Linked DNA regions of Oryzias latipes. The protein of the gene in region 1 purifies or fractionates together with the protein of each later gene. This does not show direct contact. Links are inferred from orthologs where the notes say so. Each region holds a gene or a part of one and is shown in the gene's direction. Other genes may lie near its edges. The genes, in order: anapc4, ccna2, anapc2, anapc7, anapc11, ccnb1 and nek2.

What was found.
Region 2: the proteins of anapc4 (region 1) and ccna2 purify together in Homo sapiens (affinity purification with western blotting; 3 studies listed by BioGRID). This does not show direct contact. The link is inferred for Oryzias latipes from reciprocal best matches to the Homo sapiens genes ANAPC4 and CCNA2.
Region 3: the proteins of anapc4 (region 1) and anapc2 purify together in Homo sapiens (affinity purification with western blotting; 12 studies listed by BioGRID and IntAct, with this or other methods). This does not show direct contact. The link is inferred for Oryzias latipes from reciprocal best matches to the Homo sapiens genes ANAPC4 and ANAPC2.
Region 4: the proteins of anapc4 (region 1) and anapc7 purify together in Homo sapiens (affinity purification with western blotting; 14 studies listed by BioGRID and IntAct, with this or other methods). This does not show direct contact. The link is inferred for Oryzias latipes from reciprocal best matches to the Homo sapiens genes ANAPC4 and ANAPC7.
Region 5: the proteins of anapc4 (region 1) and anapc11 purify together in Homo sapiens (affinity purification with mass spectrometry; 8 studies listed by BioGRID and IntAct, with this or other methods). This does not show direct contact. The link is inferred for Oryzias latipes from reciprocal best matches to the Homo sapiens genes ANAPC4 and ANAPC11.
Region 6: the proteins of anapc4 (region 1) and ccnb1 purify together in Homo sapiens (affinity purification with western blotting; 3 studies listed by BioGRID). This does not show direct contact. The link is inferred for Oryzias latipes from reciprocal best matches to the Homo sapiens genes ANAPC4 and CCNB1.
Region 7: the proteins of anapc4 (region 1) and nek2 purify together in Homo sapiens (affinity purification with mass spectrometry; 6 studies listed by BioGRID and IntAct, with this or other methods). This does not show direct contact. The link is inferred for Oryzias latipes from reciprocal best matches to the Homo sapiens genes ANAPC4 and NEK2.

The regions. Positions count from the first base shown.
Region 1 is NC_019862.2:1,190,204-1,193,683, forward strand, and holds the end of anapc4 (anaphase-promoting complex subunit 4), read left to right. Parts: coding exon 1-44; intron 45-133; coding exon 134-180; intron 181-256; coding exon 257-313; intron 314-384; coding exon 385-441; intron 442-518; coding exon 519-612; intron 613-707; coding exon 708-805; intron 806-881; coding exon 882-943; intron 944-1,020; coding exon 1,021-1,059; intron 1,060-1,142; coding exon 1,143-1,244; intron 1,245-1,315; coding exon 1,316-1,393; intron 1,394-1,465; coding exon 1,466-1,633; intron 1,634-2,214; coding exon 2,215-2,338; intron 2,339-2,644; coding exon 2,645-2,884; 3' UTR 2,885-2,980; downstream 2,981-3,480. UniProt on the Homo sapiens protein: Component of the anaphase promoting complex/cyclosome (APC/C), a cell cycle-regulated E3 ubiquitin ligase that controls progression through mitosis and the G1 phase of the cell cycle.
Region 2 is NC_019868.2:207,888-211,816, forward strand, and holds the start of ccna2 (cyclin-A2), read left to right. Parts: upstream 1-1,129; 5' UTR 1,130-1,497; coding exon 1,498-1,698; intron 1,699-2,005; coding exon 2,006-2,258; intron 2,259-2,355; coding exon 2,356-2,462; intron 2,463-2,532; coding exon 2,533-2,756; intron 2,757-2,831; coding exon 2,832-3,036; intron 3,037-3,114; coding exon 3,115-3,228; intron 3,229-3,403; coding exon 3,404-3,537; intron 3,538-3,929. Other genes in the region: bbs7 (Bardet-Biedl syndrome 7 protein), read left to right, coding at 4-127, 213-346. UniProt on the Homo sapiens protein: Cyclin which controls both the G1/S and the G2/M transition phases of the cell cycle. Functions through the formation of specific serine/threonine protein kinase holoenzyme complexes with the cyclin-dependent protein kinases CDK1 or CDK2.
Region 3 is NC_019866.2:2,382,402-2,386,424, reverse strand, and holds the start of anapc2 (anaphase-promoting complex subunit 2), read left to right. Parts: upstream 1-1,223; 5' UTR 1,224-1,432; coding exon 1,433-1,531; intron 1,532-1,930; coding exon 1,931-2,180; intron 2,181-2,242; coding exon 2,243-2,564; intron 2,565-2,636; coding exon 2,637-2,769; intron 2,770-2,829; coding exon 2,830-3,010; intron 3,011-3,085; coding exon 3,086-3,205; intron 3,206-3,557; coding exon 3,558-3,675; intron 3,676-3,782; coding exon 3,783-3,961; intron 3,962-4,023. UniProt on the Homo sapiens protein: Together with the RING-H2 protein ANAPC11, constitutes the catalytic component of the anaphase promoting complex/cyclosome (APC/C), a cell cycle-regulated E3 ubiquitin ligase that controls progression through mitosis and the G1 phase of the cell cycle.
Region 4 is NC_019867.2:25,467,751-25,471,823, reverse strand, and holds the start of anapc7 (anaphase-promoting complex subunit 7), read left to right. Parts: upstream 1-1,273; 5' UTR 1,274-1,395; coding exon 1,396-1,496; intron 1,497-3,185; coding exon 3,186-3,372; intron 3,373-4,073. Other genes in the region: ubiquitin-conjugating enzyme E2 G1, read right to left, coding at 534-576. UniProt on the Homo sapiens protein: Component of the anaphase promoting complex/cyclosome (APC/C), a cell cycle-regulated E3 ubiquitin ligase that controls progression through mitosis and the G1 phase of the cell cycle.
Region 5 is NC_019859.2:4,486,005-4,490,207, forward strand, and holds the start of anapc11 (anaphase-promoting complex subunit 11), read left to right. Parts: upstream 1-1,403; 5' UTR 1,404-1,668; coding exon 1,669-1,777; intron 1,778-4,041; coding exon 4,042-4,187; 3' UTR 4,188-4,203. UniProt on the Homo sapiens protein: Together with the cullin protein ANAPC2, constitutes the catalytic component of the anaphase promoting complex/cyclosome (APC/C), a cell cycle-regulated E3 ubiquitin ligase that controls progression through mitosis and the G1 phase of the cell cycle.
Region 6 is NC_019870.2:25,679,338-25,683,531, forward strand, and holds the start of ccnb1 (G2/mitotic-specific cyclin-B1), read left to right. Parts: upstream 1-1,394; 5' UTR 1,395-1,482; coding exon 1,483-1,503; intron 1,504-1,742; coding exon 1,743-1,874; intron 1,875-2,362; coding exon 2,363-2,479; intron 2,480-2,960; coding exon 2,961-3,155; intron 3,156-3,228; coding exon 3,229-3,387; intron 3,388-3,524; coding exon 3,525-3,761; coding exon of another isoform or gene 3,762-3,821; exon of another isoform or gene 3,822-3,845; coding exon 3,846-3,986; intron 3,987-4,064; coding exon 4,065-4,175; intron 4,176-4,194. UniProt on the Homo sapiens protein: Essential for the control of the cell cycle at the G2/M (mitosis) transition.
Region 7 is NC_019882.2:6,331,936-6,336,073, forward strand, and holds the start of nek2 (serine/threonine-protein kinase Nek2), read left to right. Parts: upstream 1-1,338; 5' UTR 1,339-1,568; coding exon 1,569-1,664; intron 1,665-2,024; coding exon 2,025-2,242; intron 2,243-2,323; coding exon 2,324-2,564; intron 2,565-2,696; coding exon 2,697-2,779; intron 2,780-2,864; coding exon 2,865-2,991; intron 2,992-3,064; coding exon 3,065-3,299; intron 3,300-3,841; coding exon 3,842-3,896; intron 3,897-3,998; coding exon 3,999-4,066; intron 4,067-4,138. UniProt on the Homo sapiens protein: Protein kinase which is involved in the control of centrosome separation and bipolar spindle formation in mitotic cells and chromatin condensation in meiotic cells.

The DNA.
Region 1 (3,480 bases):
GAGCATGAAAAACTTCAAAGCCTTTTTTCGCTGGCTGTATGTGGGTGAGAATGAACCTTTCCCTAATTTCATTTAAATCAACGATAAAAGAACAGCTGCATGTTCTGATGGATGTGACATGATTTCCCTGCAGCCATGCTGAGAATGTGTGACGAACACGTTCCACCAGAACTCAATAAGGTCGGTTTGAGCACAGATGTTTGGTTTTCACGTATTTCTGAAAACGTTTTACAACTTAAAGCTCTTAAATCCTCAGATGACTCAGAAGGACATAGCGTTTGTCGCTGACTTTTTGTCGGAGCATTTTAGTGAGGTAAGCGGTGAAAGAGCAGCTGCTCCGTTCAAACTTTGGGATTGTTTTGAAGAGTTTTATGGTTTTAATAGAACGAGGAGCTCTTTGATCGTAAAGGGAAATACTTCAACGTGGAGCGAGTTGGTCAGGTATGTGATGGACCAATCAGCTGGAAGTGATTGAATGACTTTGCTTGCTGATTGTTCCTTTGTGTGGACATTTACAGTATCTGAAGGATGAGGATGAAGACCTCATGTCTCCCCCCAACACCAAGGGGAACCAGTGGCTGAAGTTTTTAGAGGAGAGCTCGCACCTGAAAGGTCAGTCCTTTTTTCTGGAGTCCTTCAATTCTTTGTTGGGACACATTTTCTCCGTCGGTTCTGTAACCTTCTACCACTTTGATTGACTTTTGCAGAGAGCCCGTTGCTGTTTCCATCATATCCCCAGAAGTCTTTGCACTTTGTAAAGAGGATGATGGAGGGCGTGATCCAGCACTGCCTTCAGAAACCGGCTGTGGGTTTGAAGCGTCCCCGGTCTGCCTCTCATTCCTGTCCGTCATCTGAGATCATCCCGTCTGTTTCTCTTGCAGGAGGTCATTGGGAAATCTGTGAAGCAAGCTGCTTTTGTGCCCCTGTACACTGTGCCAGAGAGGTGACATTTGACTCTTTCTCAGAATGATGATTTCATGTGACATATCCCCACCATCATCGTTTCATTCTGTTTTGTAGCTCAGAAAACACACCCCGGCTCTTCGAACTCCCATCTTTGTAAGTGGGACACAGACATCGTAAGTTTTGTTTGCCTCAAATTGAGTCAGTGATGATCATTTGTCTTCTTGGTGTTTTCACAGATGGAACGATAAAAAGGCCAAAATGCATAATGTTGTGTTCTGCATGCCGGAGGTTTCACCCAGCAAGTTTTACCTGCTGCGCAAAGAAACCCACTCAAACAGGTGAACTGCTGGGAGCTACGTCTTTCTTGAGACATTTCAGTCTAATGAAGCTTCTTTTTTAAACCCTCCAGTCAAACTCCACTCAGTGTTGTGTCGTTTAACCTCACCCACCAACTTGAAGATCCAGAGGATGACAATGCTGCAGACCAGTGAGCCTTTCCTATGCCGTCCTCTTTACATTTGCCTTTAGAAGAGTTGCTCTAATAACTTTTCTTTTCCAGGCCAGGTTATGTCTACAGCTGTCTGGATGCTCGTTTCTATGACGATGACATTTTAACAGTGGTATTACAAGCATGTGAAGAGCAGAGCGGCTGGCGTGGTTTGGCTCAGCTTCCTCTTTCATCCAGTCTGAGCTGTGGGACCGACTTCAGCTGGCAGCCCGACATCAGGTGAGGGAGCCGTGTCCCCCTCATCATATGACCCCTCCCCTCAATAAACGTGTGTGGAGCCTGCTGGCCCCAACGTTCGTAGTTTTGATTGACAGATTTTGTGTAGCCTACTTTCAAGTAGTAGGGGTGTGGTCTTCCAACACTCCTGAATGGCCAGAGCAGTTGCTATAGAAACGATGACTCAGACTGACTTGGACCAATCGCTGCTTGCTGACATTGTCTGATTCCAACATGGCGGCGACTGGCTTGACTTCATTTGGTTGGAGCCAGGAGGAAGTGTTTTCTATGGGTGATGTCACAGCCACTCAGTCCAGTAGTTCAGGTCAAAATCCTCTTAACCTATTGGACAAACAGTGAAACAGTCTCAAGCATTTAATTTGGTTTGAAAGTTTCACGGCAGTAAAGCGTGTTTTGCTGCGTGTTCTGACAGACGGATCAGCTTCAGTAGACAGCATGAATCACTGAATAAAATGCTAACAAAAGTATAACTAAAAAGCAGTAAACCCACCGGGACTGGACTGACAGAATGGAACGTGTGTTGGGATGGAACGTGCTGAACTTTAACGTGTTTGTATGTTCAGGCTGGACCAGCAGAGCAGCACCATCCCATGCCAGACTCTGTTTCCAGGGACCCAGTGGCGTGAACTGGAAAACATGAAAGCTCAGTTTGTTGCCGTCAACGGAATCCGTAAAGTGGCGTGCGTGGTACGTCAAACCTCTGCTTCACTTCAGAGTTCACCTTTAGCCTGCTGCCTGTCCCGGTCCTGAGCAGCATGTGCTTTTTGGGTTTGATATGTTAACAAATCAGACATAGAATCCTCCACAATGGTGGTCATGTCAGAGCTTTTCTGATGGTACAAGAAAGAAATGGACAGTAGCTGAGTGTACTTCTGGGATTGATTTATGACTTCTGTTGCAGAGGAGTAAATTCAATCCCAATATTTCCTAACTGATTGAATGAATCAGGACCTACGGACAGTTTCAAGTCCTGTTTCTTTCTCTTCTTGGTAGCTGAGTTCCAACGTGAGGCACATTCGTGTTTTTGAGATGGATGTAGAGGATGAAGAGGACGAGGGGCTGGAATCTCTGAATGCAAGTGCTGACCAGGATGGGCTGGAACCGTCCGGGCCCAGGCGTGGGCCTGCAGAGGAGAACCCTGAGACTGACGGTGAATCCAAGGGGGGCCGCGGAGGTGCCCTTCAAAAAACCGAGGAGCATCTGGAGTCAGAAGAAGCTCTAAAAGTCCCATGACACCAAGAACAAGGTTCTTTGCATAAATGCTTAAAGTCCTGTGGTTTTTTGATTGTTTATTAATAAAAAAACAATCTGCTGTCAGCTATTTTGAAACTCACTGTTGAATCTTTTGTCCCCAATATTACGCCCCAAAATGGGTCAGCAGGGTTCCCTTTGAAGGTCAACGGCAAACCAGCTACAAAATTGCAGTTTTAAATAATTATTTGGGAACTGTAAGAGTGAAGTGGGAGTTGAACCAGACATTTATGTAATAATGTGAGGTGTGTTGGAGTTTCACAGTACCTGTTGGAGTTTTATTTAACCTTTATTTACCCAGGAATTGTCCCATGGATATTAAGAATCTCTTTTTCGAGGGAGTCCTGGCTAGGGGGGAAACAATAAATTACATTTACCATAAAAATGTCAACATTAAAAACATAAATAAAAATTAGAACTCATGTAAAACAGGTACAGTTAAAAGGGACTTTCTCCTCAAATCTCAGCTTGGATTTAAAAATATTCAGTGGAATGAGTTCTTTTAATTTCCATCTTTTCTGTAGAGCGTTCCATGTGGAGGGGGCAGAAAAGACAAAAGCCTTTTTCCCCAGTTCTGT
Region 2 (3,929 bases), on another chromosome or scaffold:
CAGGAGCTTCAGGTTCATGAGGGAAACGCCAGTTTTCTCATACCAGAGTATCGAAGCATCTTGGATGAATCTGCCAGTCTTCTGGAGGAATACAAGAAGCAGCCAGCACATCTGGAGAGGCTTTATGGTACATTGCAGAAGCCACATTTATCTTAATTTCTGTTGGTCTCCTGACACTAATTTCTATTTCTTTATATTTGTTTTTCCTGCAGGAATGATCACTGACCTCTTCATTGATAAATTCAAGTTCAAAGGCCAGAATGTGAAAACAAAGGTGTCATCTCTGTTGGAGATTCTGGATAACTATGATCTAAACTCTCTGTTAGAATTTTTCAATGATGTTTGAGGTTGGATGAAATAAAATCCATTCACGTGTTCTGCTTCTATGTTGCATCTTTATGTAATGACAGTTATAGTTTGTGTCATGGTGCCATGCTGTTTTCAGAAGCTGTCGGTTTCACAATCCACAATTATTTCTGCTTAAATCCAGACTTTATAAATTCCTCCAGGTAGTTAATACAGACTCCTCTTTTTCATTTAATAACATATCACAGGTTCATAGACAGAAATCAAAGCTAAACGGACTGCATTTCTATATGAAAATCTCTGTGAGAAACTATTTAAAAATGAAATAGTCAAAAGATGTCATATGATTTTTTAAAGATCAGACCATATTAAACTATGTAGAAATGTTTTGTGGTGTTTTTCATTGCCTGTTCAATCCCCACAACACATGACTGAACACATCTTCAGTGACGTGCTTTGTTCTTCTTTATTTTTATTATAATGGCCATTAAACCCTTAAACAGAGAATCCAGTGTATTATATTTGGAGAACCTTTTCCTTTAAATGAATCCTTACTAACTGCAGGTCAAATAAGCTCATAAGCACTTGAAATCTGACAACACTTCAGAAAGTGTCGTTTTATTTTAGTTTTTGTAAATAAACACGCTCAGAAGAGTCTGCAGACGGTTAAAATCCACGGACGTCGTCCTGACTGCCGTCTGCTTGAGCAGGGACGTTTCCTTTCGTTTGCTGCTCTGTGCCGCTGCAGACAAACGGGTCCAACCGGTTTTGAATTTGCAATCAAGACATTTGTACCACTGCGGCTCCAGTAGTTTTGCAGCGTCACCATCTGTGCGCTTTGTGATTGGTTGGTTCAATCCTCGCGGGCTACTTGAACTGAGAGAAAGCAGAACCCTGTTCCTAAATGTCTGCTTGCTAGTGGTTCGTGTCCTGGTCGGTTGTGCTGTGGACCCGCGTGACTATGGAACCGTAGTGTGTTTGTGTCCCGCGCTTTGGAATCGCTCTACCGCTCACGCGCTCCTCTGCTGTGGCGCTGCTGTTCTGTTTTTTCGTTGCCATCTCAACTGTTTAGTTTTGAGTTTATTCGGCTCCACTTCAGGCTAGCACCCGACCCGATCCCCGCTACGAACGACGAGGGGTCCCGAAGAGTTCAAAGGTCAAAGCCAGCAGCGAGTGTTTGTTGCAGGAAACATGTCGGCGGCAAACCGAAGCGCGGCGAGTGAGCTCCAAAACCAGGAGAACATGCCGTCCAGCAGGCTGAGAGGCGCCATCAAAGCCCGGCCTGCAGCCAGCGAAAACCTTCCGCCCAAACAGGCTGCCAACAGAACCGTGCTGGGAGCTCTGCAGAACCACCAGCGGAACAAAACCCAAAGCCTCCGCGGCGCAAAGCAGGTAGCATGCCGCCGCACGGCCCGCTCCGCGGCGGGGCGCCAGCCGCCGGTTATCCGGCTGTGCTCCCGGTTCCTCACGGCTGTGGCTCGGTTCTAGCACCGTGATAACAGTCATTCGCCTTTAGCATCTGAACCTGTCTTAGATCTGCTTCTGGAGATGGTCTTTGTAGTTTCATGTTCAGTCTGTGCGCCATTTTAGCCTCACTCCTCCTAGTTTACCTTACAGACTGTTCTGTCTTCTGAAGCAGATCTGCTGCTGTTTGCCTTCAGAGCAGAAACTCACCTTTCTTGTGTTCTGTTGCCTCCAGGACTCTGCTCTACCCTCATCCTGTAAAGCTGACGATTATGGGAAAAGCGTCCTGGAAAAGCCGCCTGTCAAGCAGCCGGCCTTCCAGATCCACATGGATGAGCCTGATGGCGCCTGCACCAAGAAGACCGTGTCTGAGGCCCTCAGAGCCAGGGCCCCGGCCCCTCGCTCTCCTGTGGCCGTCCACAACGCCCTGACATGCCGACAGCCCCTGGCTGCCCTCGATGTCCCGTTGGTTGTGGAAGCCGGCTTTGGTGGGCTGCTGTAGAATCTTGGCTTGTTTAGTAATGACCGATGTTGGCTTTGGTGTCAAAGTGAGGTGTCATCATCTGTGCACTAAATGACTTTCAGATTCTCCCATGGACATGTCGTTGGTGGAGGTGGACGACAAACAAGTTAATGTCAACGAAGTCCCAGAATATGCAGCTGAAATTCATTTGTACCTGAGGGAGATGGAGGTGAGAGACTCTCCTTTTCCTTTCTTCCCCTCCTGTCATCTCTGCTACAACAATCGGGTATTTGTTTCAGGTGAAAACCAGACCGAAGGCCGGCTACATGAAGAAGCAGCCTGACATCACAAACAGCATGAGGGCCATCCTGGTGGACTGGTTGGTGGAGGTTGGAGAAGAGTACAAGCTCCACAATGAAACGCTGTATCTGGCCGTTAACTACATTGATCGCTTCCTCTCGTCGATGTCCGTCCTGAGGGGCAAACTCCAGCTTGTTGGGACTGCTGCCATGCTGCTGGCTGCGTATGTGCCAATTATCCTGCCCAGGAAAACACGACTAGTTTGGTTCGGAAAGGTTGAATGACTTTGTATGTGCAGGAAATTCGAAGAGATTTACCCTCCTGAGGTGGCAGAGTTCGTCTACATCACAGATGACACGTACACCAAGAAGCAGGTGTTGAGGATGGAGCATCTGGTGCTCAAAGTCCTGTCATTTGATCTGGCAGCACCAACGATAAACCAGTTTCTTACTCAGTACTTCTGCCACCACGGCGTCAACAAACAGGTGGAAAGCTTGGCAATGGTGAGTGTTCATGTGGTCCGTCGTGTTGGTCTACAGAAGCATATGGATGTGCTCTGACGGTGCTTGATCTGTCCTCAGTACCTCGGGGAGTTGAGTTTGATAGATTCAGACCCCTTCTTGAAGTACCTGCCATCGCAGACGGCGGCTGCAGCCTACATCCTCGCCAACCATGCAGTGACCGGCGGCTCTTGGGTGAGACTATTTCCCTCCAACTTAAGTTAGGAATGTGAAGGGTTATACGCTTGAATGTTTTGGTTTGAGATGCTTTATGGGGACGTGGGGCTGTTTGTCACATGCCAGGCTGAGGCTCATGGTGGTTGTGGAAATGTAAAATTGGTTCACTGACATTTTCTCTGCTCTGCTCCAGCCCAAATCCTTGGCAGAGATGACGGGCTACATGCTAGTAGACCTGATGCCGTGCATCGAAGACCTTCACAAGATGTTCCTGAGCGCCGCTCAGCACGCCCAGCAGTCTGTCCGCGAGAAGTACAAGGCCTCCAGGTGAGCTGCCGTACTTTGATTTTGTGTACTTCTATTTAAGGATCGTTGGAAAATATTTGTATTACTCTAAAAAAGTATCAGAGGAATCTGACAATTTCTGAGAGCTCAACTAGCAGTAAAAACTTCCCAACCACATTTTTTTTTTTTTACAATAAGTAACCTTAAATTCAATTAAATGATGGCTAAAAATGTGTCTTTAGTTGTACCGCGAGATTAGAGGTGTTAAGATGATCGGATAATTCTGAAAAGTTGCATGGAAACAAAAGGCGGCTCCAGACTCCAGCATCTTCACTGTTGATGGTAAACTCCTTGGCCTGTTACTCACTTCAGTGACACTGCAGGGAGGAACATGGTTTCAGAAATGTGTAGCATTTGTCCTCTAAGCTGAGAAT
Region 3 (4,023 bases), on another chromosome or scaffold:
GTTGTTTGTGTGACATCACATTAATGCTGATATTTTAAAACAAGTGAGACTTAGATTTTTATGCTCCGGGGGTTAACTACAGCCTCCTCTTTCAGGTTAAGTTAAAATAGAAGTATAGATTTTTTTCAACATTTACATTTAAAATATGAAATCCTAATGTCATATTGGAAATAGCTCAGTACAACGTTTAAGGAAGTAAATGCTGTTTGTCGGCAGATAATTTTTGTTTTTTCTTTAAACGAACAAAACAGTTTTGATGTTGGTGCAACAGCAAGGATATGTTAATTAAAGCAAACACAGTTAATAATAAGACAGATTATGTTTAACCACTAATCCGTCTGTCTATAGGGAAAACTTAGATAAGATGTTTGCAAACTTAATTAGAATTTTTTTTTAAACAGGGTAATTGGTTCCTGCTAAACCAAATTACCGGTAAAAAAATTACAGTTTATTTAGAAATTAATTGTTTATTTTAACATTTAAACTTATATTTTATTCAGTAAAGAAAATGCAGAGACATTTTCAAAAACGTGAAAATAAATAGTTTCCGTGAAAATACATAGTGGATGTAACTTGTCTTGCAGTTCACCAGTTTGTCCACAAGAGGGCGATAAGGATTTTGACTGTGATCACATTTTGTGTGTTTTTCCATTATAAATCATTGTTCTGTTGTATCTGTTTGCCCACTGAGGCAGATATCATGTCATAACCCATCCTCACACGTAAAAACATTTTTGATCGGGTAAAATTTGATTTTTTTAAGTTTTTCAACAAGATAATCATTTTTTCTGAGTTATTAATTTAATTGTATTTATTTCGTAAATACTTTAGTAAATGTTACAATTTTGATAAGATAAGATAAATATGCTTTTTTATTACAACCTGAGACATTTAATTTTGAATAAATTAATTTGATCGATGTTGATTATTTTACATAAAGATTAACTTAATTTGGTAAATAATTTTTCTCCAGCTCTTAGTTGCTGTTACAAACATTACGTGTTGCAGTTTTCCACTCTGTCCACACGAGGGCAGTAGTTGTTCACAAAAATGCAAAATGCAAAACAGACTTCTTTTAAATACTTTTGACTACTTTTTTTTACAACTTTTAAATTTTTTGCACGTACATCATGCAAACAACTAAAACAACGAAGAAAAAACAGAACGATGCGCATTAACAACTGTAGGTGGCAGCACTGCCATCTTTCAGCGCTAAATACAGTAGAAGAAGTCAAAGAAGATCTGAACCCGCCATTCAGTAGGAGGGGTCACGTGGTTTTGTTTTGTTAATAAATAGTATCTTTTTCTTTGTATATTACTGTGTTTTTGGAGAAATAATGTGTATTTGTACCTTCAACTAAACCTCTTAAAACCGGCACGCGCCTGTTTGGACTTCCGCCCGGTTTGTTAATTGAGGAGAAAAACCCATAAAATGGAGGAAATGATGGAAGACTCGGAGTCTGTGGAAATGTCTGGACCCGAACCGGTCCAGGGTGTCGCGGCTGCATGGGATTCGGTCTCTGCGGCTCTGGTGAGTGGACCCGAACCCCGAACCTCAGTGTCGGAGTCCAACCATGAGTGAGACGTCAGTTTATCGAGGTTATTCACGTCTCCAAATCTGGTGGTAGTTCACTTTGATGAATCTCACACATTTAAAACAATCTGTGGATCATTATCAGACTCATTAGACTGCATCTATATGCGTGATATTTTCATTTGTATATCAGTCACAGATGAAGCTTTGAAGGCGTTTTTAAATCTGCTCCTCCTTTCAAACACACCTGAGTTTAGAAAAAACTGGTTCAAAGTTCTTCATTGCTGTGTTTGAACTAAAAGTAAAAGCCAATCCGAGCCCAGGATCTGCTCTGGCATCAGCACGTACAGCAGCTTCTGGACGGATGCTGAGGCTCTGCGTTGGGTTCTCTTGCAGGTGTCTCCTGGCTTCTCGGTGTCGGATCAGAACCTCGTGGACGGCCTGGCTCTGCTCTGCCGTCGGGGTCTGGCTCCTCTTCTCGGGGTGTGGCTGCTGGAGACCTTGCAGATGCGTTTGTCGTCCTCCGTGGTTCCAGAGTTCTGGTGTGGACTGAAGCAGCCGGAGAACGAGCTGGAGGAGAGGGGCCGGGCCTGGGTTCTCCTCACCGCCTTCAGGACTCTGCTGGACCGCCTGGAACCCTTCCTGAGTAAGACCCAGACACCGGGGGGTCCACTGCTGTCGGACATTTCTGACACGTCTGCTCCTTAGGTGGTTTGGAGAAGCTGGGGGCGTGGCAGCAGGAGGGCCGCTGTGGTCTGAGCGGGCCGGGACCCAAAGGGCTCAAGGAGCAGGCCTTCACGACCATCAGAGCGCTCCTGCTCTTCTCGCCATCTCCTGTCCTGCAGGAGCGTGTGCTGGAGTTCTACAGCCGGACCTTCTCTGTTTACATGAAGCAGGAGGGGAACGCCGAGGATGGGGCAGAGGCTCCGGATGGTTCTGAGGGAGGGGCCTGTCCGGGCTGTGGGGTCCCGCTTCACCAGTGCTGGTGTCTGGAGGCCCTGGAGCAGCTGCAGCAGCTCAGCCACATCCTGTGAGAACCAGAGCGAAGCTCCTTGCAGCTCCTGTGGTCTGTCAGAGTCTGACCTGCTGTTTGTGGCTGCAGGTCCAAACTGCAGCTGCTGGACTGGGTCAGCTCAGAGGCCGTCACCTCCATCCTCCACAAGCTCATCGAGCAGCGGATGGAGCAGCACTGCCGCGGCGAGTACGAGCGCTCCTTCCTGCTGAACTTCCAGGAGGTGAGGCATCCGTTGTAGCAGCTCCCTGGTCGGCTCCGTCTGAACCTTTCCGCCTTGCAGTGGTTGGAGCTGGTGCTCGGCTGGCTGGGGAAAGTCTTTGCCTGTGAGGGGTCGGGAGACGGTCCGGCACCAGCATCTTTGGCCAGTCCGGTCATGAAGCAGTGGAGGTGCCACATGCACCAGTTCTTCTGCAGGATCTACGTCAACATGAGGATCGAGGAGCTCTTCAGCATCATCAGAGGTGACTCTCACCAACCCGACGGAGTTTTTTTTTTGTTTGTTTTTGTCTAACATCTTTGCTCCATATCTCGTGCAGATTTCCCAGAATCCAAAGCTGCGATTGAGGATCTCAAGTTTTGCCTGGAGAGAACTAACCAGCGACAGCAGCTCCTCACTTCCCTGAAATCTGCCTTCGAAAGCCGTTTGCTGCACCCGGGTAAGTAACCGAGTGGTTTGGTAACCGAGTGGTTTGGTAACCGAGTGGTTTGGTAACCGAGCAGCAGGTCTGTATGTAGCTAAGCAGGGAGTAGATGTCAGCGGCGGGCCGGTACCACAGAAGCCGGTCGTTATCAGCAGGTCGTCGGTACCCAAGATGCCGGTTTCTACCTGAGCGGCGGCTTAGCAGCAGTGAGGGGAAATAAAACCTGTAGCTCAGTGGGTGTAAAGTTCTGTCACGACTCTCCAGAACCTGTGGAGGACCGACTGTCCTGTTGGATCCTCCAAAGGTTTCCTGATTCTGTTGAATGCTTTTCTCTTAAAAATAATCCTCATCCTCAACTTGTGTGCAGGAGTTCACACCTCTGACATCCTCACCGTTTACATCTCAGCCATCAAAGCCCTCAGAGAGCTGGACCCGTCCATGGTCATCCTGCAGGTTGCCTGTCAGCCAATCAGAAAGTACCTCAGGTGAGTTTGCGTGTCTGCGGTCTGACAGGCGGTTTCAGGAAACCCGCTTCAGTTAGAAATGTGTTCATTGAACCGTCTAAACCGCAGCGCTGCCTCTTGCTGTTCAGGACTCGGGAGGACACGGTGCGGCAGATCGTGGCGGGTCTGACCGGAGATGCGGAGGGCTGCACCGACCTGGCCTCCGAGCTGTCCCGCGGAGACCCGGTGACGCTGGAGATGCAGGACAGCGACGACGAAGGCACCGACCCGGAGGACTGGACCCCGGACCCGACGGACGCCGTGCCCGGTCGGTGATGGCGTGGTGCGACGGTAGTCGCTCCGCTGCGGCCCTTCGGCTCACCTCTGACC
Region 4 (4,073 bases), on another chromosome or scaffold:
GTGGGCTTCGTTCGATACTTAAAAAATGCCAACGGGTACCGCTATCATCCTACCAGAGAAAGTGATTAGATATTATCTTACATAACTAAATAATGAGTTTCACATTTTCAATTACGTTTACTAAGAAAATATATGTTTGTGTGTTGCCCAACGTATTACGGTATTCATGTGTATCATTGGTAAAGCTAAACTCAAAAGGGCTGTGAGCCCCTGAATTCATTATTCCTTTGTTCTGCCCGCTAAATAACGCCGAAGTTGCTAGCTTGCTAGGACGGTCGGCGTTGCTGGTCTGCGTGGGTTTTAGTTTATCTTTTATTCCAACGTGACGTTGAAATCATAATTTTGCCACACAAATGGGCATCTAACTCAAGTAGATTGCTCACGTCCTGATAATTTCGGTCATTAAAGCGCCTGTTAACCAGAATCTTACAGCGTAAACATAGCTTCACAAAAGCTAGCATTAGCCTATTGCTGCTACATAACTAGCTGTTTTCTCCCTGTAATTTTAATATCAAAGAATGCGATCACATTACCTGCCAATTGTTTTCGAAGAAGTAATGCTGATTGTTCGGTCATGGTACGCGTACGTAACTAAGAAAAAAACTGTCTGTATAGACAAATATCTTCTGGCACACAGAGAGGAGGTCCTGCGATGCTGCTGCTGCTGCCGCCGCTTGGCTCCGTGTTTTGACACAAGATTCAGGTGCTAGCTTAAGTGCGCATGCGTGCTTCAAGCTGACCACGCGTTCGTGTTGTTAAAATATCTTTCTGCCAATGAATTAGACTTACAAAAGGACTGCATTAAAAATACACAGAATACCTCGTTGTTTGAAATGTTTTCAATTTAGAAATTTTATGTTGGGGCTTTTTGGATATTTGAATTCCGTATGTTTGTTGACATCTACATGTTTGAAGAACTCGTTCGGCACACGAACATAATAATACATGGTTGAAAAAAATAAACAATTATAAAGTAAGCCTTTAATTTTCAATTATTCACGCGAAAGTCGATTTTTGAGCTAAATACAAACATACAGTGAAAAGCAGAAGATGCGTTCATAACCATCGGAAATATCAAATTCACATTGAAGACTGTTACAAAGAACAAAAACAAAGTAACAAATGTTTAAATTTACGTTCATCATGATGAATGTGTAAACTAAAACGATTTAAATAAAAATACTAAGATTGTATGAGGGTGAATTGATTGCGCTCTTAACCTGTCATTCGTGAATCGTCTGCTAAAACTAATTTGTACAGACCTACAAATGCAGCAGTGCACGGAAGGAAGGCTGCTGAGCGCCATATTTAATACATCAGAGGCTAGATATTTTTTAGCTAAAAGTTCTAACTTCACACCGAAACCTGTAGAAGAGCCTGCATTTTTTCGGTAAAATGAATGTTATTGATCACGTTCGGGACATGGCTTCGGCCGGCCTTCACTCCAATGTTCGCATTGTGAGCAGTTTGCTGCTGACGATGAGCAATAACAATCCGTAAGTATGGCTTGACTGGGACCCGTCTATTTCCCGAATGAGTCTCTACGCAAGTGTTTTGTGGTTTTCCTCCGTTGTCGCGACAGTTTTATATATATGAAAAAAACATATTGTCGTAGTCTTTACGCTATTGTTTGAATGCGCAGCCTACACAGCTTCTTTCTACATGCTTAGCTTGTGTTATGAGATGCATACAGTTAGCCTTCACTCCATTACATAGCCATGTGGAGACTTTGGCAATAACAGTTTGGTGAAGTGTCATTGAGGGATGTTTGAACTCAAATCCCCCCACTTTGTTCACATGTATTGATGTTTTCTTTATTTACATTAATCAAATGTTTTCATTTTCCGGAGTTGATTAGATGTTACTATTTGTTCTTTCGCCACATTTATATTCAAGAAGATGTACCAGGGGGGTATTCCAGAAAGCAGGTTATGCTAGTTACCACGGCAAGTTTAAGGCTAATGAAGCGGATTATCTCAGTTTTCGGTACCAACAGTGGAGGTCTGTTTCACAGTATGTCAAGTTGCCATAGCAACTCATGCTCTGAACATAACCCGGTCTGGAACAGGTTTAGTTGAAGGTTAGTTTGTTTTCAGAGAGGTGAAGGCAGCATGGTGTGTCCATTTGAAGATGATTTAGTGGATGAAAAAGCTCAGATAATACTTTTTCCACCATAGAGGGTGATAAGACCACATATGGATGTTGGAAAGATAACATTTGTTACATTGATCTAACTTAATTATTTGCTTTAGTTGAGATAAATCTTTTTTGTTTTTTGTTAAGTCAGTTACGTGTCATGTTGCAAATCTGTTTTGATTCATGCATTTTATTGTTGTAAAAATGAGCATATCTGCAGGCTCAAACTTAAACACATGAGAGTTCAAGAAGTACAATAAATTAAGATGAAAAAACATTTAATTGAATTGGAGTGATATGACATTTAGTTAGATAAATATGTAAATTTGAGTTAAAAAAAATATTGAGTTGGATAGACGTAAAAAATATATTTAACTCAATTTCTTGTTACCAATTGAATTAATTCATTTAAGTTGGATAAGTTTTATAAATATATATATATATATATATATATATATATATATATATATATATATATATATATATATATATATATATATATACACATCACAATGGAAATGAGATAGAAACTCTTGTGTTTACTTTGTCCGTTCTTTTTCTCCAAGCAGAAACTCTCTTTTGCTGATGCAGCCGTGTTACTTTTTTAATCTTCATACGCCGTCATTCAAATCTCCGACTCCGTCTCACTGACGTATAGCGCTCTCTTTTTTTCACCACGCGTTTCCATGGTGACTCCGTAGATCGGCAATCCATTGAAAATGTCTTTATGTACTTGCTGTGCACGTGCATTAACCCAGGGTTACCAAGTGGAGCGTAATTACGCTAACTCATATCCGGTTTTTTGGAACCGACATACCCAGAGTAAGCAAGTTCAGGCGGATTTCAGCCAGAGTTCAGGCTTAAAGTCAGGGTAGTTTAAACATGCTTCTGGAATACCCCCCAGAACTCCCCGTAATCAAAATGTAATTTTTTATACAGCTGCTGTTTTCGTAACGTTGCACACTTTAAATGCGAAGCTAGTGCCATAAAATAGAGGTATTGTGCTTTGTAGTTATTTTTAAATGAAACTTGTTCGTTTTTGTCTCCAGTGAACTATTCTCACCGGCTCAGAAGTACCAACTGCTGGTTTACCACGCCGATGCGATTTTTCACGATAAGGAATATCGCAATGCGGCCTGCAAGTACAGCATGGCGCTGCAGCAGAAGAAGGTGCTCAGCAAAACATCCAAGGTTCGCACATCAGCTGGTGGAGCAGCCTCCAACATGCAGACACAGGTGAGGGCTTTATGCTTCAACACATTTAGGAAAAAAAAATATGGATGGATGGATGGATAGATGGATAGATGGATAGATGGATAGATAGATAGATAGATAGATAGATAGATAGATAGATAGATCTCAGAAGTTAATGGTTGCATCCCTACAATATATGCAAGAAAATAATAACACTGAAGACCATGAAAGTGTCTGCTGGCCTGCTGCTTTTGATCTATGACCAATACTGATCCTAGAGTGGGGAAACTACCTTTTAATCACTTGCATAGACACATTTTTGGCAGCAGACGTCTTTATCTCAAGTGACTCTTGAAGGGCACCTCTTGGTTTGTTTTTCCTCATCTTCAGGTAATATTCAAAACAGTTTTTACATTTTTTTGTGGCATTTTCTTCTTGATGGAGGACATATGTAAAGAAAAATTAACCTTAAAAAAGCATTTCTGAGTACTTCTTTATTCAAATCTTGGTGAATCAGGAGCAGATTTAAAGAATGCCGTTTGAAAAAGATTGTATTTGTTACGGCCACAAGCTCCGTGCTCCGCTCCAATCTGATACATCCACTTGCAGACAAATAGATCCGTGTACTTCTTTGTTTTCCCCCTCCAAGCTGGCATCTGAATCAAAACTATTAAGATGGTTGGATAGTTCCAATATTGCTAGCTATTTTTGTTGCACTAATATGTTTAGGTTGGGGCTGAAAG
Region 5 (4,203 bases), on another chromosome or scaffold:
ATAACTGATTGCTCTTGGAGACAAATAAGCTGTAAAATATGATTACATTTTTTGCCATCAAGAAAATCTAAACAGACTTCAATCTAATAGTTTTCTACATATGTTTAGGTTTTGTTTGTTTGTTTTGCAAATCCTTATTCCACAAGGTGTGTAAGACTGAAATCCAGGGATGGTCAATGGTTATTTATATTACATATAAATGACTCCTTAAAATAATTATAGAAAAAAAATCAAATAAAATAATTATAGAATAACAAAACCTCGAAAATTTAAATAATTCCAAATATTTAAATTTATTATTTTTATTATTGTCACAAATTACATTTGGGGGGGGGGGGGGGGTTCTATTTGTACCATGTCTAATTCATGTCTAAGCCCTCACATTTTGAAGAATGAGCTGTTTTTGCTTTTAAATGATACTCAATGCAAGTCTTCTGGTTTTTATGGTGTTGACATTTGGAACTTGATTCCGTAATAAATGTAATAATAATAAGAATAATAATTCTTATTATATTTATTATTATTAAAATAATAATTGTCAACACGGCCAAAAAGTTCTGGTTCTTTCCTAAATTGCAAATTCTCCTGGTGTTTTGTGGGTTTTTAATGAACTCTGGCTTCCTCAAATAGTCCATAAACAAGCCTCATGGACTAATTGGTGACTCTGAATTTAACTGGCAGACTATAATCTTTGCCTTTGTTCTGAAGAAGCTGGGAAAGACTTCAGAAACACCAGTGATTCTGCACATGTATACATTTTGATTTCTTAATTTCAATTTTTTCAAAATATTTGTTGTTTAAAAGCAAGGAGTGTGCGTATCTGTTTAAACGTTTATTTGCCACCTTGATGTTTCACTGTCAGTCTCGTCAGAATTGAATTGAAGCCATCATAGTTATTTTATGTGACTGTGTCTGGGTTGTGAAGCTGTGTTGTTAGATCTTATGTGTCTTTTCTATCTTATAGTTACTACAAATCGCTTTTCCCTTAAAAGTTAAAGTTATTTAGCGTTTATTAACAAAAGAGAATCAGACACATTTAAACAAATGGCTCAAAGGAACACAGCAAAAAATAATAATAAAAAATAAATAAATAATAGGAAAAACTAAATTACAAAGCATTACCATTTAAAACACAAACTAAAAAGGAGGGGAGCACAAAGGGCATCACCAATTATTCATATTGTATTTTCAAATAGGGTCCACGTTTTTAATGCATTTAAATTCTCATTTAAATTATCTAAATTTTAAATAGATTCGTTTTTCCCCCCATTGTTTATCCTATTTTATTTTATTTTTGCAAGAATTAGAAGAAGTGATCAGTTTCTTACCATTTGTCACCGATAGAGGGCGACATTTAAAATCCAACGCAGTTATAAACCAAATGTGATGACACCGGAAGAAGAAAGTTGCACCGCTGTTTGAAAGAACGGCAGCATATTTTTGCGTTGTTTTACACTGTTTTACATGGCTTAGTTCTAACGAACAGTACCTTTTAAAATATTGTCAAACACTTAAATTACACCCCAACTGTTGTTCCTTCGTTAAGCGAGCAGTGTTAAACAGAGCAGGTCGCTTCAGGCTCCGCCGGGTCGACATAGGCTAGCCTAGCTTGCGTGTCCCGTTTGCCGCTGAGCTCCGTGGGTTTCCCTGATCCGTCTCTCGCTGAGGATGAAGGTGAAGATCAAGCAGTGGAACGGAGTTGCGTCCTGGTTGTGGGTGGCCAACGATGAAAACTGCGGCATCTGCAGGATGCCCTTCAACGGCTGCTGTCCAGACTGTGAGTTAACGCGCCCGCGTGCAGATGTTTAATTCCTGTGAAGAAAGAAGTAGAAATCCCACCATCGGTTTAAAGAAATCTTTGTGATGTTTATGTTTCCTCGTAGCATAAAGGCAATTGAGCCGTAATGGCGTTTAAAACCGTATTTGATAGAAAACCTTGTAATTTCACATTTACTCTGTCTGTATTACCTAACAAACTACTTACGACTTAACAATTTTTTTTATATAACTTTATTGAACAAATGCAAGTATACAACATAAAGAACAATCAATGCAGTATACAACATACAATCAATATACAACACAAACAATGTTAAACAGCCAGGGGAGTCGATTCATTAAATATTTGCAGAGAGTTACAAATTTCAATAGTTCTGAGAGCTTTTTTGTTGGAGGAAAAGGATATTGATTTTATGTAAAAAGTTACATCTTTAATGAATTGTGGGAAGTATGGTGTTTTATTAGTAAATTTACATTTATGTATGTAGAATTTTGCCAGAAGAATTAATAAATTAATTATAAAAAATATCTTTTGTTTTTTGGGGGTCCTGAAAAAACAAAGTAATACATTTTCCCATTTCAAGGAGAAATCTTTGAAGACATGAATAATGATGAATCTACTGAACTCCTTCCAAAATCTCCGTGTGGACAAACAGTGCCAGAAAAGATGAATTACTGTTTCTGGGTGATCTCCACAGAAACTACAATCAGTATTAATATCTTTTTTAAATTTTATCATATAATGTTTGGCAGGGTAAATTTTATGGAGAATTTTAAAGGATACTTCTTTTACCTTATTTATTATTAAATACTTATGAGGGATCGTCCAGACTGCTTTCCAGTTGATATCTGGAACAAATTGATTCCAATAATTTAAAATATACGGGGGAGCGGTATAAATCTTTTGAAATAATCTGCGTATTTTTATATTAGTAGTACGCCCATATGAGAAGCATATTTTTCCTACCGGTGACTCATCCGCATTGGATATTGTATTTTGATTAGGTATCAAATTATCAGTGTTCTTAAATAACATTACTATTCCTGAGGGGATAGCCTTCTGCACCATTGAAAACTCTTGTAAAGTAATAGGTAAATTATACTGTGATAGGAATTCGTTATAGTTTAACAGCTGCCCCTCCTTATTAAATATTACGACTTAACTAATATTTGAGAATCAGAGATGTGACTACGCATGCGCGAACATTCTACTTAGTCTTGTGTTTGCCATTGTCACAAGTACAATGCAATGTAGCCGTTATGATACATAATTAAAGGGAAAATAACAGGACCACCTGCAGAAATGCTGTTTTCCTCTAGGTGGGTCGGTTAATAAATGAAGTTGATTAGTTAATTAAATTGCCTCTTCGCTACAGATGGGATGTATTTCATCCCAATCAAAGATGGATGGATGGATGTAATTAAAGTCCTGATTTTAACTAGATGACTGTGATTTGCTATTTTTGTGAATTATTGTCTCATCAATAAGAACTGGATTATGGCAACAATGCAAAAGAAATATATAAAAAGAAACAATTCATTAGGGGGGGGGATTGTATAAAATAAATGAGCTCACCTTTAGGCAGCAAATCAAATTGTGCATGACTTTAAATTATCATTATACTAAATGAATCAAATGTGATTTGTGTGTATTGTATGCATTACTGCGAAAAAGTCTCTTTGATTATGAATAATTAGACTAAAGCAGCCAGCATTGTCTTGTCATCACTGTTCATTTTATTCTTTATTTTCTAATCAATGTATTACTATATCTGAAATGGGTTTGATATATACATGTGTGTTGGTAGTTGTTTTTATTGTATTCAATCATTTAATCAATCAAATGTTCTCGTTTCATCCTGTTTAGGGACAGCAGATGTGAAATAGCATCATGGCTAAAATTGGACATAATTACATCTTTTAGTCTCTGGACATATGTTCAGTAATGTGTCCATATAAAATAAATACAATAAGATAAAATATATTTATCTTATTGTATTTATCTGCAGTAAATATCTGCAGACTTAAGAAAATCAGCTGTAAACATTCATTTATCAAAAGAGATTCCCATAAACAGATTCATGACACGTTTATTGTTGAGGATGAAGTCAGTCGGTCATGATGTGGAGATCAACACCATCACTTACAGGAGTTCGGATTCTTATTTATAAATTGGTGATGTAACATGCCCCATATAACTTTGACTTCGTGTCCATCAGCACACCCCAGCTCGAGTTAAGCCATGCTTCTCCTCATCTGCAGGTAAGGTTCCCGGAGACGACTGCCCGCTGGTGTGGGGTCAGTGCTCCCACTGCTTCCACATGCACTGCATCCTGAAGTGGCTGAACTCCCAGCAGGTGCAGCAGCAGTGTCCCATGTGTCGCCAGGAGTGGAAGTTCAAAGAGTGACGTGTCACGGTTCAGA
Region 6 (4,194 bases), on another chromosome or scaffold:
TTGTTTTTGGTCATGTTCAGAGGTGATAACTTAAAAATGATCAGAGCTGTATTAGTTTTTCGTTGCAGCAGAAAATGATTGAGCTGCATGAAAACATTTAAAAATGTGTTGACAGCATGCATTTTGTGTGAAAGGCTTCAGCACTAGAAGGTGTTTTCAAATTAAAAGGAGAAAAAGAAAATCAATTTCAAACCTGCTGATCCTCTTTGAGGTCACTGGATCCTTTGGTGAAGGCTGTACACACTCCAGATGGGTTACCAGTCCATTGCAGGGCCACACAGTCACAGACATTGTGAATCATCAATTAACCTAAATATGTTTGCACATGCCTGAGTGCCAGGATAAAACCCACACATGCTTGGGGTAAACTTGTAAACTTGACTCAGAAAAGACCCGGCTGGGATGTGAGCCAGGCCCTACTGAGGCAAAAGAACAAATCACTACACCACTGTTCTACTTTAGTAGCGAATACAGGACTAATGAGCTTTTTTGTAAAAAGAAAAAGATATATATATATGCATTCTTTTGCACGGAGGGATTCAAACATGTTTTAACATAAAAAATGACAATAAACTGAGAAAATCATTAAGTGTCAGAATAAAATCATTTTTAGGGCAACATTCAATTCTATTAGCAATAAGTGGTAGACTTTGAGTTTATTTGATTAAGTATAACTGAGCATAACAAGTATAGCCGGTATACACATGTAGTGTAGGGAATATACTAACTGAATACATCTATAGACTAAATTGGAACATTTTAAGTTTACTATATATACATTTATCTTCTTCCGTTTTGTACCTTTTGGGGTCACAGGGCTGCCGAAGCCTTTCCACATGTTACGGGCAAAGGCAGGGGACACCCTGGACAGGTCGCCAGCCCAGTCTGTCTAAGTTTAAAATATATAGATATAAAAAGTAAACTTCAAGTCCACTGCCTCACTTTTAGCCTACTTGAAGTGCATTTAAGGATACTAAATTTTGTTAACCCTTAACAGATTTTGTACTTTCTACTATACATACATCCAACCTATAGCAGCATGCTTGGTAAAATGATGCTCAAGTATACTTAAAAAATAAGCTTCAGTGTACTGTTTGTTTTTGTAAAGGATTGTTTTTGAGATCCTCTTGATTCTTCTTCTTTTTGTTTTGCGTTAAAAAAGTGTTTTCCTTGTTTAGATGCAAACAATAAAGTAGTGTATGTTTTTATCTACAAATGTTTTTATTTTAATAGCTCTAGAAGAACGGAGTTAGATATCCGGGTAAGGGAAGTGACCTAAGAAGAGCGTGATCACGTGACCCAAAGTTGTCTTGGGAGCGCATCTGACACGTACTCGTTTATCCAATCAGAATCGCCGCAGCCGCCCAGCGCAGCCAATCGGTTTGCAGCGAGCGAGGATTTAAACCACGACTCGTGCGTTGGAATCTTCACCTTCTCCGCTTCAATTTCGTGGTTGTTTGTGGAAGAGAAGCAGGCAAAGGCATGGCTCTGAGAGTTACCAGGGTAAGTCTGAACCACGTTACACGTTCCTCTCTGTTTTTACCGGAAAAGAACGATTTCAGGAAGCGCGTCTTTCTCTGGTTTTAAATGTTTTGACGTGTTTTCTGACTGGACTGTCATGTGGCTGTATGTGAGCGGAAGCTAGAGGTCAAATATTGTTGGCTTGAATTTATTGAACGTGCTGCTTCACCACTGCAGGTTTATCTCGAGCGCGCCTTGTTTTGTCCGTTTTCTCGCTGCAGAACCGACTGGCCTCCACCCGGGCCGAACTGGGCGGAAAGACGTGCTCGGTGGCCGGGCCTACACAGAAGCCCCGCGCGGCCCTCGGAGAAATCGGAAACGTCGCAGTTATTAACAAAGATGTCACGAAAAAGGTAAAATCTTTTTTTTTTTTTTTTAAAAATCCTATATAAATGTATTTTCCACTTATCGAAGTAAAGTGATTAACCTTTTTTTGGGGCAAGTTTGGTGTAGAAGTGAGGGGTTGGGCCTGTTCTGATGAGAAAATGTCTACTGTGCTGAACTGGGGCCCTTAGTCAAGTATAAAATGCATCCCAGGTTGGAGGAGCACAGTTAACCTGGAACTATGTCTAAGAATGTACACCATCAATTGTAAATTTAAATCTTTGCTAAAAAAACAACAACTTGAGTTTGAATGCACATTTGTTAAGAGAAACTCTTGTTACTGCTGTACTATCAGCTCAATGCGCAGAGCTTCAAAACCTGTACAGCTAGGACTTGTGGCTTTGGCCTGCAGCTGTAGAGATTTCCCAAACTGTGCAAGAAGCAAAGAACTCAAATGAAAAGATCCCAGCTCTGTAAAATGCATAGCAGTATTTGGGTTTGACCTTTCTTTCTTCAGACTATCAAGACGGAGGTTGCTAAGAAGACAAAGATCCCAGCTAAAGCTGAGAAGATCGAGCTACCAAAAGCTGCTGTGGTCCCTGTTAAACCAGCACCTGAAGTGCAGGTGACTGAGGTGAGTTGGTGTCATTGGTTGTCACACACCTGGTTGGGACATTTGTCCTGCGTGGTTGACCCATCCTCTGGGGGCAGCAGTGAGCTCCAGGCATGGTTGTGCTTCGGAGCCATATGGTGGGTTAACCACTCCCAATCCAACCCCTTACAGACCCACTCTGATTGTGGCCTCTTTCTTATAAAAGATTCATCTAAAGAAAATGAGATTGAAATTTCATTTCTGATTACTTTATTCAAATGTTGTGAATTGAGAAAAAAAATGCTGTTTGTTTGGATAAGGGCTTATTTGTGAGGTAGAAAATCCCACCGGCAGGTCACCAGCTCCCTTCTGATGTGTCCACTTGAATCAAGCAGGGAGGCTTTGGTTCCATCCGAAGTCTTTGCTGTGACTCCACTGGTTTTGAACCCTCTGCCTACCAGTCTTGGGGCAGACGCTCTACCACTAGGGTGACGTGTAATGATTTGACATGACCTTCTCACAGGTGCCAGCCCAGGCTGAACGTGCATCCCCCACCCCCATGGAGACCTCTGGATGTGAGTCTGCTGACCTCTGTCAAGCATTTTCAGATGTCATCCTCAACACGGCCATCAGGGACGTGGATGCAGATGACTACGACAACCCCATGCTCTGCAGTGAATATGTTAAGGACATCTACAAGTACCTCCGTCAGCTTGAGGTCGGACTAAAACCCGGAAAGCTGCATTCCTGATGTGTGCCGTTTCCCTAAAGAGACGTTTGTTCTCCTGTAGATGGAGCAGAGCGTAAAGCCAAACTACCTTGAGGGTCAGGAGATCACCGGAAACATGCGAGCCATCCTCATTGACTGGCTGGTACAAGTGGGCCTCAAGTTCCGTCTGCTGCAGGAGACCATGTACATGACTGTGGGAATAATCGACCGCTTTCTTCAGGTGAGTCTGTCAGTGTTCCTCTACAGACTAGATGTGCTCCATAATTCAATAAAAAAAAATAATTTCATAACAGATGTCCTCTAACTGACTTGTGTGCTGAGATTTTTCTTTTATTTTGTCTGCGGTCCTTTCAACAGGACCATCCAGTCCCCAAGAAGCAGCTGCAGCTGGTTGGCGTGACCGCCATGTTCCTGGCCTCCAAATACGAGGAGATGTACCCTCCGGAGATCTCAGACTTTGCCTACGTGACGGACAGGGCTTACACCACTGCTCAGATCAGAGACATGGAAATGACTATTCTGCGAGTGCTGAAGTTTCAGCTGGGCCGCCCCCTCCCGCTGCAGTTCCTCAGAAGGGCCTCCAAGATCTATGAGGTGTGGCGCGGTGTCGGTGCGGCAAACTGTTCTCTTCCACCACTGCATGTGCTGAGGTGAAGGTGGGATTTTATTTTTCTTCAGGTAACTGCTGAACAACACACCCTGGCCAAATACCTGCTGGAGCTCTCCATGGTTGACTACGACATGGCTCATTTCCCGCCCTCATTGGTGGCGAGTGCAGCTCTGGCGCTGACTCTCAAGGTCCTGGATGCAGGGGAATGGGTGAGTGACACTTGAAGGGTTTGCTCTCATCGCTGACTTGCCTGGGACAGCATTGGATATGAATGTCTTCCTTCCCAGGATGTGACACTGCAGCATTACATGGAGTACACAGCAGAGACCCTGACACCTGTTATGGCGCACATCGCTAAGAATGTCGTGAAAGTCAACAATGGGCAAACTAAACACATGGTAATCTTTTATTTTTTAA
Region 7 (4,138 bases), on another chromosome or scaffold:
AATTAGTGGGAAAAAACACAATTTTTGTATGAAATTCAACAAAAATAGAAAAAGTAGCAATAACCATAGAGCTATCTTTTCCTGCTCCTGCTTCTGGACCCAGAAAAAGGAGTCTTAAGTCACAACGACTGTTGCGACACCAATTTGTGCCTCAGGTGAGGGGGTTATTGTCGCTCGGGCTCTGCTCGTTCCCTCTAATGGGGGGCAGTTGACATCACAGTGGCCTGAGCCACCTGTACGTCTTGTCTTCAGCTGCCAGTTTTCCAATGGTGTCTCTCCTTCCTCTCTCTTCCACCTCACAACTGTCCCTGGCTGATGTCCAGCTTTTTGAAACAGTGACCTTTGGCGGAGGGATTTTTGGCAGACCGGTCCAACACTCTCTCAAGAGCAGACAGAGTTGTGGGGATAATCTGACTTGTTATGCTGGCTGCCCCACTGAGAGGCTAGACCACTGTCCCAGACGCTGCATCCATCTCCAGTACGGATCACACGTTCACAAAAACCAGCTGTCGTGGTTAGGATTTGCTCCAGTCACGCTTCAATTTCACGGGCTGGAAATTACCAACATGCTACTTCCCACCTGTCAATCTGTCACAGCACCAGAAAAGGGATGAAAAGGTGCACAATGCTAGAGATGATCCAAAGCCGTTTGAATGTTTTCGCTCTGTGTTTCAGTCTGAAAAATACAATGTGACGCCAGCATTTTTTTCCTTAAACCGTCGTGCCAGAAGGCATCCTGCTGCAGTGAAGCAATGAAGTGAATTCAGAGCCATGGCAGATGTAGGAGCACTGTGAGAGGTCACTGTCTTTCACTGCCCTGCAGGTCAAATCAAGGGACCGATGACTGTAGGATCTGCTTCCCATCCATCTTAGAATGCATGCTTAGAAAATGCTGTTGGATGAGCCAGTGACCTTTAAGTACATTTACAAGCTACCGACAGGGTTAAATTTATTAAATTCAATCGAAGGATTGTTCTCATGTGACTAGTTATTTTAAATGCAAAAGAAAAAAGTGCACTTGGCTTTATTTGAAAAATCAATTTATATGTGGATAATACGAAAAAAGTGTTTTGTAGCAATATTGTTTCCCAAATTGTTCCCCACGTTCCCCAAATAAACGTTTTATTTGTATCTAGTATGTTCAATTATATGTCAACAAATCCGTAAATCTACTGCTTGTTTTTGGTGCCCTCTAGTGGACAGGGAATAAACATGCTTCTTCCCGCTCTAATCTCGCGGGTTTTCAGCTCTTAGCAACGTGAACAAATGCGTCCTTGTTTGACCAATCAGAGACCGTCGTGCCCGTGGGAACGAGCCAATTAGAGGTAAGAATTCTGGCACCGATTTAAACGGAGAAGCAGCACTTCCTGTGTTTTCAACTGATGCCAAAGAACACGAGTGTTTTGAGGAGATCGGCTTTGGACTTCTTTATTATCTGGATGAGCAAAAAACATAATTTAAGTAACTACTTGAATTAGATGTTCAACTTTTCTAAGGCCTATCTTTACATTTGACGCTAACGTGAAGTTTGGAAACTTTTAACGTTGGTTTCGGTTGACGAAGGCAAGATGCCGTCCTGTGTTGATGACTACGAAGTGCTGTACACGATAGGCTCGGGCTCCTATGGAAGATGCCAGAAAATAAAACGAAAGAGTGACGGGAAAGTGAGTATTTATGGCACAAGACACGCATACAGTATTTTCTTAAATAAAGATACATAAATACACGGTGTGAATGTTATCTAATTGATAAGTCATGAAAAAAAAAACAATGACTTGCTTCTCTGTAAATCAATAACGACACAAATGTACTTTAATATTTGGGAAATTACAGTTTTTCTGACATTAATTTCACAAGAAAAAATCTTTAAACATAATTCAGTATCAAGGAAATGTAGCATTTAAATGTTTTTTGTCATTTATCAGTAAAACATAATATTTTTTACTCAAACACTTGAACTTTAAGTTTGAAAAAAGGACTAAGATGAACATGTTCTTGATGGTTAAAGCATCTCTGCTCTCTAGATTCTTGTGTGGAAGGAGCTCGATTATGGCACCATGGCTGAGTGTGAGAAACAGATGCTGGTCTCAGAGGTCAACCTCTTGAGGGAACTCAAGCACCCAAACATTGTGAGGTACTACGACCGCATTATAGACCGCCGTAATACCATGCTGTACATCATCATGGAGTACTGTGAAGGTGGCGATCTGTCTTGTCTCATCAGCAAGTGTATCAAAGAGAGGTAAATAGAGCAAATGGGAAGAAAGAAAAAGCAGTCATCCTCTTTCTATCTGCATCATCATGTGTTGTTTTTAAATGGCAGGAAGTACTTGGAGGAGCAGTTTATCCTGCGAGTCATGGTGCAGCTTTCTCTGGCACTAAAGGAGTGTCACCGGCGGCGCGACGGCAGAGCCACCGTCCTTCATCGGGATCTAAAACCAGCCAACATCTTCCTCGATGCAAACCAGAACGTAAAACTCGGCGACTTCGGTTTAGCTCGGATTCTGAACCACGACACCAGCTTTGCAAAGACATTTGTTGGCACACCATACTACATGTCTCCAGTAAGTTATTTAACATTTTTGGCTTTTTTTAAATTATTTTTTCTCTAAAAAAAATCTCTAAAGGACATTTACAAGGTAAAAAAAATATTGTACTTGTTATTGATTAGTTTTTTACACTTTCTATTCATTCAGGAACAAATAAATAGGATGTCATACAATGAAAAGTCAGATATTTGGTCATTGGGATGTTTGCTGTATGAACTCTGCGCATTATCGTAAGTTTTTTTTTTTAAGCTTTTCCATCCGCTCCCTCGGCTGTTTGATCTAATGAATTCATGTTTGGATTTTTTCCTCTTTGAGGCCTCCATTCACTGCTTACAACCAGAAGGAGTTAGCAGAGAAGATCAGGGAAGGAAAGTTTAGAAGAATTCCTTTCCGTTATTCCGAGGAACTGAACTCTCTTATCAGCAGAATGCTCAACTTGAAGGTCTGAAATAAAGGATTGATTGTTTTCATCCTGCAATAGACGATCTGCTGAGCACCAGTCTGCTTTTTGACAGGATTACCTGAGGCCGTCTGTGGAGTCTATTCTTCAGAGCAGTCTGCTGAGTGTCGTGGTCGAGGATGAGCAGAGAAAGTCAGAAGTTCGACCCCGAAGGAAGTCGGCAGACTCCAGCAGCCCCCCGCAGAGGCTGAGTGAAGCGCCCCACGTCTCAGCGGTGGAGCTCAGGCGGAGGGAACAGGCTCTGCGGGACAGGGAGAAAGCACTGAAGGAGCGCGAGGAGAGGCTGGAGAGTAAGGCTTTAAGTTATTTCTGAGGCTAAATCAAGGGGAGAATATAGTTCTTTGGTTATTCTGAGTGCAGCGGCCTCCATTCAATGAGAAACCAGTCCTTTGGATTTGACTTATCAGAGTCTGAGATACTTTTCTGAAATTGTGAAACAACATTTGAGGCCTTGAACTGTTCCGCTGCCAAATTGCACAAGAACTAGAAAACATTTCTCTGTTCCCACGCATGGGTTCATCCCAAAGAAAGGGGTTTGGGGTGTCTTGCTCTCTTAATAATTATAAGCAGCCCTTTTCGAAGCAATCTTTGATTAATACATTTATTCACAAATGCTTCAATCTGGTAGATTTTATATTTGCTGTACTTGTTTCTGATGTTCCTTATAAAACGCTTGAGGAGTCGGAACGTGATTATCCATCCTCTCAACCAAAGTGTTGCCATCACATCTGTCCACACACAAAAGTTTGAAATGCAAGGTGTTTTTTTCTAAACTTTGTTTTCAACAATAATCTCTCTTTTTGTACAAATAAATTGTGTTTTCTGTTGTCAGGAAGGGAGCAACAGCTGTGTGTTCGTGAACAGCTCACAAACGAAAGGCTTGCAAGGTAGTCTCTCTTTTTGTCTGTTGCATAATGTAACAACTGCTGGTTTTTGAATTATCGTGTAAAATCCTTGAGTCAATTCTTACTTTTTATGTTCTGTTTTAGAGCAGAGAGTTTACTGAGAAATTACAAGCTGCAGCAGCAGAAGGACCTGATCTTTCTCGAAGACATAGGTAGGGGAATCCAACAAAGACCTCTGGACTTACTGAACTTAGATACAGCTGGGCTATGAATTTATGAATGAA